3 linked regions of the Rattus norvegicus genome follow. The protein of the gene in region 1 binds, or shares a complex with, the protein of each later gene. Links are inferred from orthologs where the notes say so. Each region holds a gene or a part of one and is shown in the gene's direction. Other genes may lie near its edges.

What was found. The genes of interacting proteins can lie anywhere in the genome.
Region 2: Stx7 (region 1) and Vti1b share a complex: the UniProt entries of both Homo sapiens proteins name them as parts of the SNARE complex. The link is inferred for Rattus norvegicus from reciprocal best matches to the Homo sapiens genes STX7 and VTI1B.
Region 3: Stx7 (region 1) and Bet1l share a complex: the UniProt entries of both Homo sapiens proteins name them as parts of the SNARE complex. The link is inferred for Rattus norvegicus from reciprocal best matches to the Homo sapiens genes STX7 and BET1L.

What each region holds. Positions count from the first base shown.
Region 1 is NC_086019.1:23,053,514-23,058,129, reverse strand, and holds the start of Stx7 (syntaxin-7), read left to right. Parts: upstream 1-1,664; 5' UTR 1,665-1,695; exon of another isoform or gene 1,696-1,701; intron 1,702-1,957; exon of another isoform or gene 1,958-2,003; intron 2,004-4,616. UniProt on the Homo sapiens protein: May be involved in protein trafficking from the plasma membrane to the early endosome (EE) as well as in homotypic fusion of endocytic organelles. Mediates the endocytic trafficking from early endosomes to late endosomes and lysosomes.
Region 2 is NC_086024.1:103,706,429-103,710,954, reverse strand, and holds the start of Vti1b (vesicle transport through interaction with t-SNAREs homolog 1B), read left to right. Parts: upstream 1-1,467; 5' UTR 1,468-1,790; coding exon 1,791-1,905; intron 1,906-2,430; exon of another isoform or gene 2,431-2,513; intron 2,514-4,526. UniProt on the Homo sapiens protein: V-SNARE that mediates vesicle transport pathways through interactions with t-SNAREs on the target membrane. These interactions are proposed to mediate aspects of the specificity of vesicle trafficking and to promote fusion of the lipid bilayers.
Region 3 is NC_086019.1:205,361,648-205,366,104, reverse strand, and holds the start of Bet1l (BET1-like protein), read left to right. Parts: upstream 1-1,398; 5' UTR 1,399-1,557; intron 1,558-2,202; 5' UTR 2,203-2,312; coding exon 2,313-2,331; intron 2,332-3,380; coding exon 3,381-3,472; intron 3,473-3,696; coding exon 3,697-3,753; intron 3,754-3,894; coding exon 3,895-4,062; 3' UTR 4,063-4,457. Other genes in the region: Ric8a (synembryn-A), read right to left, coding at 1-569, 659-706, 995-1,078. UniProt on the Homo sapiens protein: Vesicle SNARE required for targeting and fusion of retrograde transport vesicles with the Golgi complex. Required for the integrity of the Golgi complex.

The sequences.
Region 1 (4,616 bases):
ATTCTTTTTTTTTTTTTTTCTTTTTTTTCTTTTTTTTCGGAGCTGGGGACAGAACCCAGGGCCTTGCGCTTGCTAGGCAAGCGCTCTACCACTGAGCTAAATCCCCAACCCAGCCTTTGCTATTCTTAATTATGTATGGGGCCTGGAAGTGTTTTGTGTTTCAGGTTCCTGAATCTGTATTATGAGGAAACAACTAGACTTTCTAAAAAGACTCTGTAGCTTTAACAGCTAACATGACTTTTTATTGCAGAGGTTTTTGCCTTGTGATTTTTAAAAATATAACAAGTTTGACAAAAGGATTGATTTCAAAGAAAAACCTGAATTTCCTCTGTATCTTAGGAAACATATAATGTCACTATGATGGGCTAATATTTCTATAAGTTCACAGTGGAGACGACAGGTAGAACTCAGGGGTGGATCAACTACCTGAAATGTGAGGCCTTGGGTTTGATCCCTAGTACCTCCAAACAGAACCACAAACAACCTGGGACAGGCCTGTACTCTGAACGATGAGGAAAGAGGGTTGCAAGTTCAAGGCCTACCTGGGCTACACAGTGAGTTCAAGGTTAGTCTGGGCAACCTATAGAGACTTTGTTTCAAAACCAAAAACCTCTGGTGATACAGGACACAGGGAAGGCATGGGCTTCTCATGGTCAATGACCTTGGTTCAGTTTCCAGTGCCGGAAAAAAGCAGCAAAACCCTACAGTTCACAATGGCTCTAGCTGTATCACATCACACTTTAAATGGACGCACATCCTTTGACCAGTGTGCTTAGTCCACTGTGGATCCTACTTGGAAGATGCGGTGTTTGAGTCAGACTTAAATCACCGATGTATGCTTGCATGTGTAAAACCAACCAACGTACAGTTTGCTCTGCGGTTCTGACTCACAATAGTCTGGAACTACCACCACTACCACCCCACCCCCACCCCCTACCCCCACCCCCAGCCTCCACCTGAATTCGACTGCACTTTTGGTATCATGCGTTTTCATATTCTTTCCAGAAATAACACTGTCTTAATTACAGGCAAAGGCCAAGGCAAGATCGTCTAATTAATTTGGAAAAGTATTTCTTTTACCTGAACCACTGATGTTTCTCATCTGAGAGTCACATGTTTAAAGAGTTATTGTTGGAACAGTCTGTGCTCTTAAAGCCTGGGAAAACCGCATCCTGTATTTCAAGGACGAAAGACCCATCATGAGCCAAGAAACACCCTTACCAAGTGGGCATCGGGAGGTGAGTCTTCATTTATTCTTTGCGTGGGCTTAGCTAGGATTGCCTTGACATTTTTGCAGTGACATTTTAAAATGGAGTTGTCAAGTCTGCCACAGAGCTGAGGGTTAGGAAACAGGACCTTCAGGAGCTGAGGGTGCACCCTCAATCCAGGAAGGATGGCGCCACCGAATAAAGAACGCAGCTCTCCTCTATTGGATTTCTTCCTCTTTTCTTGCATGTAGACATCACTTTGTCACCCATCAAAGCTTGGTTCCCTAGGAATTTTGCCAGTCCCTCCAAGCTTCAGCTGTCACTGGCCAATGGGAGAGACGCGAGCCCCGCCTCCTTCTTCCTGGGGCTTTGGCCCTGCGCATGCGCATTGGGAGTGCTTGCGCCACCGCCCATTCGCTGAGACTGGCTGCGCAGGGCCGTGGGCCCTCGGTGACAGCAGCTGGAGGTGACAGAGGAAGCCAACGAGGTCAGGGTAAGAGGAGACTGCAGAGGCGGGGGCGCGGAAGGGACACTCCAGAACCACTGCTCGCCGGTGGTTGGTTTGGGGTGCGCAGAGCGGGGCTCCCTAGGGCGCAGGGCCAGCGCCTTCCTCTCGGGCTCCCACGCCCCGAGGCGGACTCGGGAACGAGCACCCAAGCGCGCGGCAATGGAGCCTCGGGGACCTGACCTGCCGCCAGATCCTGGCAGGCAACAACCGTGTTTTCATTTTCTGTCAACTTCCCCTCCAGAAAGACAGAAAGGGAAACGCGATGGGCCCTGGTCATCCGGCCACAGGTTCGTTCTGTGGCCCAGAGCATTTGCTTGCTTGGCTGTTGGCCCTACTCACACAAGCTAACTTTCTCTGACCTACCTTGTGCACGTCTTTAATTGATTTACCCACCAAGACCCTTAACAAAGTATTTTGAGAATTCCCATATGTGTTTTGTAGGTTAAATTCAGACAAAAGAGAGAGGGGGAGAGGGAGAGGGAGGGGGAGGAGAAAAGAAGAAAGAATGAGAGAGAAAAAATGTTGGGAGAGGATGCTTTATAGTCAAATGGTAATTTTTTCCTTATAGTTTTTAAAAATTATGCTTGAATTTTATATGCATATATTATTTTTGGTTGCTTTAGATCTCGTATTCTGTTAGGAATTATTATTTACAAGTTTTCCACAATCAGGAAAAAAAAGGAAGTAACTGTGGAACACTGGTTTGGTCCGGTTGAAGGTAGGCATTCCTTTAGGTGTACCTGAGCTGTGCTGTGCAGAGATTGATAAAACTGTTAAATTGTATCGAGGTGGGGATGGGCCTTCGGATTTGCAAGCTGCTTTGGAAGTTGGCCCTGGGCTTGTGACTTGCTAAGAATAAGGCTGTAGTTTCCCAGCGTCTGGGGAAGTTAATATAACACAGTATTAACTCATTGACCTCTGGGTGCTTTCCCTTCAGCGAGCTCACTTTTTATGCTGCTCCCGATTAGCAGTCATTTCTAATTCTGATTAGGATCCCAAATGCATCCATATGGTGCTGGTGGAAAATTTTGAATAATGTTGAACTATATGCCACTAAATGGTGTGTGCACAAAACCCTGGTTCAGTCCCCAGTACTGCAAGGTAATATTTCTGCAGTGTCTGATAGTCCTACTAGGTAAAACTCCCACCCTTTAGTCTGAGTGAATTTTGCTCTGGTTCAGTGTAACTCGAAATATTAATGTGTGAAACTGGAGAAAAAGAATGCTTGGTGAATTAACTGAAAGCAGACAGTGTAGCACAATGGTTGGATCCATGAAGGAGCTGGGTGAAGACGCACTTGAGTAGTTCGTGGATGAATCCTCATCTGAGAGTTGGAGCACCCTCGTGTTCATTGATTGGGTCCTATGACTCCTCTCCTGCTTGTGTCAGGACTTGAGAACAAAGTGTGAGTGGTCCAACCTCCTGAGGATGATGCATGGCTCGAAGTAGAAGTTACACTGACAGAGCCGTAGTGGAGACTGCTCATTTCAGATCCGGCGTCTCTGGTGTGTGATAACACCTTGCAGGGAGAAAGAACTAGGTGGGCGGGTGTCATGGGAAGGGTCATCTAGAGACAGAAAAGGGACACCAGAAAAGCCCAGGTGGCAATAAACCTGAAACAGTGTTTTAGAAATGTTAATATTTACTCTCAGGCTGGGCATGTGTTCTTGGGATATGGGTACACTTGTTGATTCACACTTCAGACACTTATTCAAGACCAAGTACTAGGGACTAGACTTTGTCCAAGATTTATACTCCCCGTACAGCACTCACCACACACACACACACAAATACAAACCCAGGGGAGTAAAGGGGGAGGAAGCTCATAGTTTTATGCTGGTACTCATGATTTAAAAAGCGAAACTGGCCATTCGATTTCAACAGGCTACATTTCAGGCCAGTTCTCTGCTCAGCGGAAGCCTTTAAGAGTCTACGATGGTATGTCCAGGAGTAACTCCGGGGTAGTGTTTTACATTCAAGAATCTATAACGAAATCCCCTTCGCTTGTTTTTAGATTGTACTTTCGACACGATCTTGAGACAGCCCTTACCGTGGGTGTTACAGTTTGGCCCCCGCCTCTCCTCTTTCACCTCAGTGTTTGTATATCTTCATAAAAAGATAATTACTGAGAAGTTGAGTTGAACGCTGGCCAATTGAGCTTTCTGCGGGGAGAGAAGTGAATATGTGAGCTGTTCCAGCCACTGGCTACTGGCCCCATCTAGTTTCCAAGCACTTGAAAGGTAGCCTGGGTGGCTTTCATCTACCTTAATTCACTTTAACAGTGCCTGTCAGTAGCAGCTGGTCTGCAGGAAGTGCAGGTGCGCGGTGAAGAGCTACATAATTATTTTGAGCGAAAGGAATTCCAAATAGGTTTTCAACACAGAATAATTTTGGGCATTGCAGCTCAGGCTACGTCCTGCAGATGGTTATAGAGCACAGGCACTTTACAAACACAGAATCAATCAGCTCACTTGGAAAAATAGACCTCAGAGTCATCTATCGATAATTATTCATGAATTTATATGTTTATTTTTTTTTCCAGCAAAGTTAGCCATTGTCCCACTTAACTTGTCTTACATCTAAAGAGCCAACTTGTCTCTTTTAAAATGTCACCATAGCCGAACAGGACAGAAAGGGAGAGTACTGCTCAGTGGTGTTACCACCGTCCAAGTTTGTTTCCTTGTTGTAAAGAAACTACCCCCGGGCCGCAGAAACGTGTCAAGCGTGGTCGTGTAGTTGACCTGGTCCACCTGTGCTAAGTTGTTCTACAGAAAGCACTAGGGTTTAGTCTAGCGTTTGCGACAATATGAGCTCCCAGATTTACTGTGAGAGTTTAAGTCTTTTGCTCATCTCAGCGATGCCTCTGTTTCTTTGTAAAAAAAAAAAAAAAAAAACCAAAC
Region 2 (4,526 bases), on another chromosome or scaffold:
CAACACGCACACATGCCATTAAGTTGGGTTGTGACCATCAGACCAACCATCAAAGCATTTCCTACTTACATGCCCCGACTAAGCGACAGAGAAATATAAGACTTGAGGCTGAAGAGATTCACAGTTCTTAGGATCACATACAACTCTTACAGGGCACGCCAGGCAGCTCTTCTTCAACTCCAGCTCCAGAAGATCCGACGCCCTCTTCTGGGCTCCACAGGCAGAGCACTTGGCCCTGTTAATTTTATATTTTGCTTTTGAGGTAGGGTTTCTCTGTGTGGCCCTGGCTGTCCTGAAAGTGCTTTGTAGACCAGGCTGGCCTTGAACTCAGTGATCCATCTGCCTCTCTCTGCCTTCCAAGTGCTGGGATTAAAATCAAGCAACACCACTCTTGGCCTATCTTTGAATTTTATGAGAAAAATATAAGAGTTTGCACCACTGCTAACAACATCAGACTTTATCTTTGCACAATGCATTTTACAATTTTTTTCATTGAATTTAATGGTCAATGGATTCAAGCTTGTAAACCTAGGGCCTCAAAGACAAAAATCACCAGTAACCCACTTTACCATATACCTTGGAAGATGGATTACAGGATTTGCTTATGTTAGATAAGTGTACCCTCAGCTACATCCTCAGCCATATGTGTGTGTGTGTGTGTGTGTGTGTGTGTGTGTGTGTGTGTGTATTTCCATGTATAAATACTGAGCTCCCACGCAAACTTTTGAGAGTAGGCTCTTTGTGTAAACCCTGCCAACAGTATACATAGGAATTTATACCTATGAAAGAACAGAGAAGACTTCATAATTGTTAATATGTTTTATGTAAGGGCAGATAAGACATGCTAAGACGGGGCTGGGGATTTAGCTCAGTGGTAGAGCGCTTACCTAGGAAGCGCAAGGCCCTGAGTTCCGTCCCCAGCTCCGGAAAAAAAAAAGAACCAAAAAAAAAAAGAGAGAGAGAGAGAGACATGGTAAGACGGGTCTGTTTTCCACACCAAATCATACATTACTCAAGGGCAAAGGCAAAGATATTTTGATCAATATTTAACTTATCAAAATGGCTATTCTTAACCTGTTGTGAATGAGAACCCGGCGCAGCCTAATGGACTGGACTGGCTCAGCCCCTAAAAGCTTTGTGTATTCTGGGAGCACAGTGCTCATTTTCCTGTTCTGAAAGCATGTGACCCTGGCCACTTAATCTCCCCAGTTATAGAGCTTTACCATCCGAGAAGAGCAGGGCAAGCCTCTGCTCTTCTATCTATCTAGGGCTGAGACTGAACTGAAGTCAGGTGGCAGAATGAAGTGCAATGACAGCTAGGCACTTGTGCTATCCAGTCGCTGCGCAACAGGGCTGGCACTCCAGGCCCTCCCTGCACAGCCGCCCTTCCTCACTTAACTACAACCCCCAGCATGCACTGCAGGACCGGCGGGCCCGAATGAGGCGTCCGAGGCGCCCGTCCCGCGGGCTCCCTTGGGCTCTTCGCTTTGGTACCTCCCCTGTGCCCACTGCCTGTCTCCAGGTTGGAGACAGCAGCTCGCCTTGGCGCCAGGCCGCGCCCCTATAGTAGCCGGGTGTCGTCCTCGCCTGGCTTTCTGTCAGGCTTTGGCGCTCGCACAGTGACAACAGGGGGGAGGGCGTCCGGCTCGGAGGACCCCGGAAACGCCTGATTCCGGGAGGCCGAGGTGCGGCAGCGGTGATGGCTTTGGGGCCGGGTAGCTGATTCCTGAGGTGGGAGTGGGCCCAGCGCCCGGAGTCTCAGTGGCCGCAGCTCACGAGCAACCTGCACTATGGCCACTTCCGCCGCCTCCTCCGAGCATTTCGAGAAGCTGCACGAGATCTTCCGCGGCCTCCTTGAAGATCTACAAGGGGTGCCGGAGCGGCTGCTGGGAACCGCGGGGACCGGTGAGGCGGGGGCGGGACCAGACCGGTAGAACTCCGCAGGGTGCGGGATCCCAAACGCAATCCCGGGCTCCCGGCTTCCAACTCGGGCACGCCCCCTGCTGCTGTCCAGCCCCGGGCGCCCAGGATCTGCAGCCTCTTGTGACTGGGGGCGTGCAATGGGATCGACATTAGGATGTCGTCTCCTAGCGAGCCTCCCACGTCCTAGCCCCCAAATTCTTAGTTCTCCTCCTCTCCCAGCAGCATAGGGCGTTCTTAAATCTACGGTCCTGTGTTTCGTTAAGACGACTTTTTTATATATAAAAAAAAAAGAAACTTAGTTTGGGGTTGGGGATGTAGGAATTTGGTTGGTAGGCAATGAAAATTTAAAAATAGTTGTAAAGCTTATAGGTAAGACAGTGGTGGGAGGTGAGGGGAGTAAAACAGCCACTTAAAGAGGAACCTGAATGTCTCACATTAAGATTTTTGACGTAATAGGGTAAATCAGTAAGGAACATAAGCAGCTGAGTAATGTGGATTTCATTTTAGAAGCAAGGCGGCGGATAGCTGGATAGAGGATGTGAGAATGGCTATAAGAGACTGTGTTAGGAGCTTCCGTGACAGTTGACTAGGTAAGCATGGGAATCTGGAGAGTGAGCATTAAATCTAACAGGTGGTTCCGAGGCAGAGATTTATGAGATTGGTGGATATGAGTAGGAAGAAAGATTGAAGAGGGTCCGTGTTTTCTCACGTGATCAGTTGAGTGAATGAACTTAAATAAGAGGCGCAAACTCGTTTGAGCTGTAGATGAGAATGTCTACCTGTAGATTAGAGATAACAGTGTGTTCTGTACCAAGCATGACAAAATATTTTTCTGCCATTAAAAACATTATGAAGAATTTATTAATCTAGTAAATACAGTAAAAATTAAGAGATTAACAGTAGTGAACACTTTTAATCTCAGCACTTGGGAGGTACAAATAGGAGAATCTCTGTGAGATCAAGGCCAGCCTGGTGTACACAGCAACACAGAGATTTCCAGACCAGCTAGATTTTACATCTTGAGACTCTATTTAAAAAGAGAGAGATTCTAGAGCCAGAAGTTATATATACCTTTTATTAGTTATGTGATCTTGCAAGTTATTTTAACCAAACTAGTTTCTACTATAAAGTAAAACATAGCATCTAACTGAATGGGGTTTTTGAGTAAATGAGATATGTAAAGCTCTTTAAAATTACTGTCTGACAATAGTAAGAGCTACCAGCTATTATTAATATGTTTGCTATTTTATTTAGAAATATTAGCTCTCTATACAGTTATTCTTAGGATGCCCATTTCATTTGTTTGTTTTTGCTTTTTGGGTTTGTGTTTGTTTTCCAAGACAAGGTTTCTCTTGTGTATACCAGGCTGGCCTCAAACTCAGAGATCCTCCTGCCTCTGCCTCCCAAGTGAGAGCCAGTAAACTGGAAATGAAATAGTATTTTTGCTTGCTTGTTTAGCATATGACCTAAACTCCCAGGAACAGTACCCAGCACATCCTAGGTATCTGATAAATATTTGCTAGATATGTCTGGGGTGGTGGTGCATGCCTTTAGTCCTAGCACTTGGGAGGCAGAGGCAGGAAATCTCAGTGAGTTCAAGGCCAGCCTAGAGTATACAGTGAGACTCTGTTTCAAAAAAAAAAAAAATACTACATATTGTATTTGTTAAATTACTGTAAAAACCATTTTTGGTTGTTAAAGGTACTATGAGTTCTTAGAAGAAAATAGCTGGGTATCGAAGCAGAATAATTTATTTCTCTCCCTTTTATTCACATTCATTACTCTTCAAATTGATGTGTACACTGGTTAAAACACCCAAAGTGAAAGAGAGACTTATTTCCTCAAGGTATAGTCTGTATTCTCGTGGCCCTGGAGGGATCGCTGCCACAGTGTGTCCTAATCTAGGAGGTTTGTGGCAGTAACAGTCTTACCATGTATGGAAATCATTAGACTTTTATAGTCTTCATCACCTACATCTGGTATCTCTTATCTTGACATTGCATCTTCTGAAGAGATTTCTCAAAAGCCTCAGAAGTGATAGAATTTTGTCATCTGATTAATATGTTAAGTGCTTATGGTTATTGTTTTAAGTTTTGGTTTTGTGGTACCTGTAGACATGTGTCCTTATAATAAGGTTATTGACAGTTTTCCATTTTAGTTTGCGTGAAGTCCAGTATGGATGCCTGAGACCTCAGTTTTGTTGTTGTTGTTGTGTGTGTGTGTGTAGCTTAGAGGAGGTCATCTTATGCTTTCTTGTTCCACTGCATGGCTCCTAGGTCATCAGTCTGCGGCAGTTTACCTGGTAAGTCAGCCAGCCAGCCCTGAGACGCTGTGTTTTTAGAGCTAGGAAGGAAACGTGAAGCGCCATGCAAGTCAGGCTGGTATGAACTGTGTTTTGCTCCAGGTCTATGGATTTGATTTGAGAATCAATGGTAGTTCCTAATATTTGAAAGTTCACAGTGTCTGGTGCTTGCTAAGTGCCCTCTCTAGTCAGCATTACTGCATTGCACTTACAAAGGAAAGAGGTTGAGAGAGCTGTGTTTTTGTTGTTTGTCTTCAGATGACATAAGTACACTGTGAGTCTACAGAAATGCCACAATAGG
Region 3 (4,457 bases), about 180 Mb from region 1:
GAGTCGTAGGTGATGTTAAAGAGCACTTTGAGGATTTCCATGGCCCGCTCTGTCTCTTGGGCTGGAAGTATCACCAGAGGGTTTTCTTTGGGGGCCACACCCAATGTCAGTTCCAGCGCATCGGTCAGCAGGCGCACGCCATGCAGCTCCTGAAACAGCTGCTGGCGCACATCAGTGCGAAGGGCTGTTAGCAGGAAAAGGAGCCTTAAGTCAAAGAACTGGACTTCGTGGGGATAGCTCCTTTTGCGGTACAGTCCCACACGTTCCGCTAGCCTCACCACCAGTCGAGCCTCTGCTGCTAGCATCTGTGCTGTAGGACTGCTGAGCACAAGATTACACAGGCATTTGAGAGACTCGAGGAGGACATCCATGTCTGGGGGCTGTGGGATGGGCTCCTCTGAGATGGCAATGTCGGCATAGCAGGCTAGTGCGTGTAAACTCTGGCGGCTAGCAAATGAGTCCAGGCAGCTGCGGTCTCGGGATAGGATTCGGATAGTCTGCAGCCAGGTGACACGGTGTTTTGGTGACAAGCCCTGCTCCAGTACGGAGACCAGCAGCTTTGCGAGTCTCTGTGGGAAGGGACAAAAATGGTTCCACTAGGCCCTCTTCTTGGGGCAGCCCGTGCTTGCCCTAGGAACCCCCTTGGGCTGACACCTACCTTCCTGTCCTCCTGCTGTGCATCATCGAAGGTGAAGCTCTGGGAATGCTGCAGGGAGACCCAGGAAGCTCAGTTCCACACGCAGGTAGGACCTGTGCTCCTCGAGAAGCAGCAGGTCTGCTTCTACCTCTGAAGCAGCAGCCATCGCTGTGTACGTAAAGCAAGGCCCACCCTCGCCACCCATACACCTGACTACCACAGAGGCACCGCCGTGGCCCAGCCCACCACCCACCGCCCTGCTCCCTGCCACACTCGCACGCACACCCCAGCCGAGTGGCGAGCAACCGGCTGCTTCCTCACTTCCTGCAATTTCCTCGGCAGCTGGATGCCTCTCACCTCTCGGTTAAACGACCGCAGAGCTTCTGTCACCGCATCTTCCTCTCCCGTCTCCAAGGCATCCGCAACTGCCCGGGGCTCCATGGCCCCTGGCACGGGGTGCTAGAAGACTTGGGCTGGGAAGACGCAATCGGCCAAACCCGGGGACTCCGCCCAGGTCCGGAAGCCCAGCGTCCACGCGTGAGGAATGCTGGGAGAACAGCCGAGCCTAGGGTGTGTACAGGCGCGGGGCTGGCCTCCGGCTTAAGGTGGAGCAACCCGGCTGTGGCCGCTGAGCGGCTTGTCTTGGAGCAGCGATGCTAGCTAACTAAGCAGTATCCTCCTTTTGAGCCCTTCTCTCTAGCCCGACTTCCTGGCGGGCGGGGGTGGGGAGTGGGGTGTGGCTTGGCCGGCGCGTAAACCTTTCTCCTTACACTCTTGTTCCCGTACTGTGATAAAAGAGGGAGCGCCGGCTCCTGGCCGCTTAGTCAGTTGGGGAAGACGATTCTCGCGGTCATCTTCCTGATGCTCATCTTCCACGGGAAATAAGGAAAGAGAAGTACGACTTGGATGGTCAAAATAATGTACGTGGTTAGCCGGGCATAGTAACGCACGCTTTTTTAAATTTCAGCACTCGAGAGGCAGAAACGGGCAGACCTATCTAAAAACAATCAAAAAACCAAACCACCAAAATAATGTGGTTATCAAAAGAAAAGGGCAATTGCAGAGTGTATGAGGAAGGATCGGAGAGAAGGAAGTGAAGAACACCGGTGGAAAAGCGACTCCCGCGGGAGGAGCAACGGAGGGGCGGCTAGCCGCGGCGTGTCTGGGGTTAGAAGCGTAGGAACGTTGTATAGTGGGGAGCCAGGTCTGCATGCCACTTAGCTTAAGGCAGAGTCGGTGCACCCCACGGTGACACAAGCAATGTTCCAGAGGATAATGCCGCCCGCTGTGCTAACCGGCGCTTGCCTCTACTCAGTGTCAGGTCCTTTGCCAGTCTCTTTCGCTTCTGCTCGTCCTCCCCATCCTGTCGTTCTCACTTGGGGACTTTGCAGCGCCCGAGGTACCCGACCCTCGGCTCCAGGTTGGGGTCTGAGCTCCTGCTCCGGGTAATACCCACAGCGCGGGACTAATACTGCTGACCAATCCGTAGGCCCGAATGCTGGCGGCCCGCCCTTCCCTTATTTACATTCCAGTGTAGAACTACAAGTCTGTTTCTTCCGCTTCAGACTCTTCTCCCGGAAGTTATTAGACCTGAGGCGGAACCGGAAGACCCAGGTAGTGGTGCCACGTCCGTCGCTGTGTTGCCTACTCCCCGAGTGGGACCTCGGAAGGCGCGATGGCAGATTGGACTCGAGGTGAGCGCACCTGAAGGTAGTTGGGATAGGAGGCAAGGTCTAAGTCTGGAGTACGAGCCATCAATTTTTCCTCGGTGGAGGGATCTGCGTGGGATGGCGCTTACGTATTCCAGGAAAAACAGGGCCAGATTTCAACTGGCACTGCCTTGGAACCCAAGCCGGCATGACATCAGTTTGTGTGTATGGTTGATGCCAAGGGCTGGAAGCAGAAGGTCCAAGCAGGGACTTACAGGGCTCAAGTGCCTCGTTTCACACACACCCTCCGCCCCCGTGCCTGTGTTCAGTCTGACAGTTGTGATACTGAGGCTTCTACTATACTAACTATGTAGTGGTTGGTAGGACACAGCCGTCTGTCTTTTAGAGTCTGGTCGCCCCTGTTTGCTGGTGCTGCTGGCTTTCCCCTTAGGTGGGTCATATCGAGGCTGGATTTTTATGCTTCAGACCAGTGCCAGTCACACTTAGGCAGGTGATTCTCAACTACATACCGTGACAGAAATTCTTCATGTCTAGTCTCTGTCCGTCGGAGTAAGGTTTCCACAGGAGAGTGCTCTGGGGCTTCTAGAGATCCTGTGTGGGTTGTAGCAGTAGGGATTGGTAGTTTCTACAGTAAAAGGCCTTTCTTACACTTACCTTGGACTTGATTCCTAAGTCATCCCCACACAGCCTTCCTGTCACCTGCTTTGTTGTTCTGTTCTGTTTTCCCTATAATCCCTACCAGATTGAGACCTGTCCCATACTCTCAGATGGTGATTTCAGCTAAGGCAATATTCATTTTGGTCCAGGAACAGTATACAACAGGGTAGTGTAGATTGACCTGCTGGTTCCCTGTCTCTGCCTGGGCATTGCACACAAGTACTCCCATGACCCATGCTTCCTGTCTGGTGTGTAGGTGGTCTACCTGTTGGAACATAGGGTGGAACATGCTAAGTGAGCAGAAGGATATGGGTGGAATGCCCTTAGAGGTCTCACCAGGCCAGGCTCCACTGGAGCAAGGAGCCAAGGACCACATTTATGAGTGAATTCTACCCTTCAGCCTCTTTGTCTTGCAGCTCAGAGTTCTGGTGCTGTGGAGGAGATTCTAGACAGAGAGAACAAGCGGATGGCTGACAGCCTGGCCTCTAAGGTCACCAGGCTTAAATCGGTTAGTGGTGGCCCTTTTCCCTTCCATGAGACACTTTGGTGAGTGGGGCTGAGTGGGTAGAAAGGAAGCCATGCTGTCCGTGGGTGTGCTGACTGAGGAATGCTTCAGGTAATACCTTGGCCTTTTTAGCTTTTTCTAGTAATAGGTACCTAGCAGAATCTGAAGGGAAGATGGGCACTGCACTCTGTGTCCTTGCTTGACTGTGCCTTCTGTATCCCAACCAGCTGGCTTTGGACATCGACAGGGACACGGAAGACCAGAACCGATACCTAGATGGCATGGTAAGTGCCTGTATTACGTACAAATCATAGTCAGCTCTACCCCCATGCCGCCTGCTCTTCTGCCTCTAACCCTTCAGCGCTAGTACAGTTGGGCCGTCACAGATCCCAGCTCTATGTGATCCCGTTGGGTCTCTCCCGCAGGACTCAGATTTCACAAGTGTGACTGGCCTACTCACAGGGAGTGTGAAGCGCTTTTCCACGGTGGCACGGTCTGGGCGAGACAACCGGAAGCTTCTGTGTGGTATGGCTGTGGTCTTAATTGTGGCCTTCTTCATCCTCTCCTACCTCTTGTCGAGGACAAGGACGTGAGCCAGTGGGAGCCAAGGGCAGCCAGACTCTTGTCCACCTGGTATCCTGGCTTCCTAAGGACCTGACTACAGAAACAATATTCCTTTGAAATTATCATCACGGGTCATTCGTCTTCCTAAGTCAGGACGACTGCGGCTGCCTCTGTCGTAACGAGCTCCTCTTGGCTTGTCCTGTGTATGAAGGAAGAAGAAAAAGGCAAAACCCAGTGCTACTCCCTGGTGCTAAAGACACTGGCAGAGTCAGAGCCATGTTGTATGAGAATGAGCCAGTTCTATTGAGAGCATCTGAGAGTGCTGAATGCGCCTACCGTGGCCAGTGGCCACACTCCTCAAGGGCCTTCTGTTGTGCTCTAACCTGTTTATGTCTGGTTTAAACCATGTCCGTGTTCTTGAAGA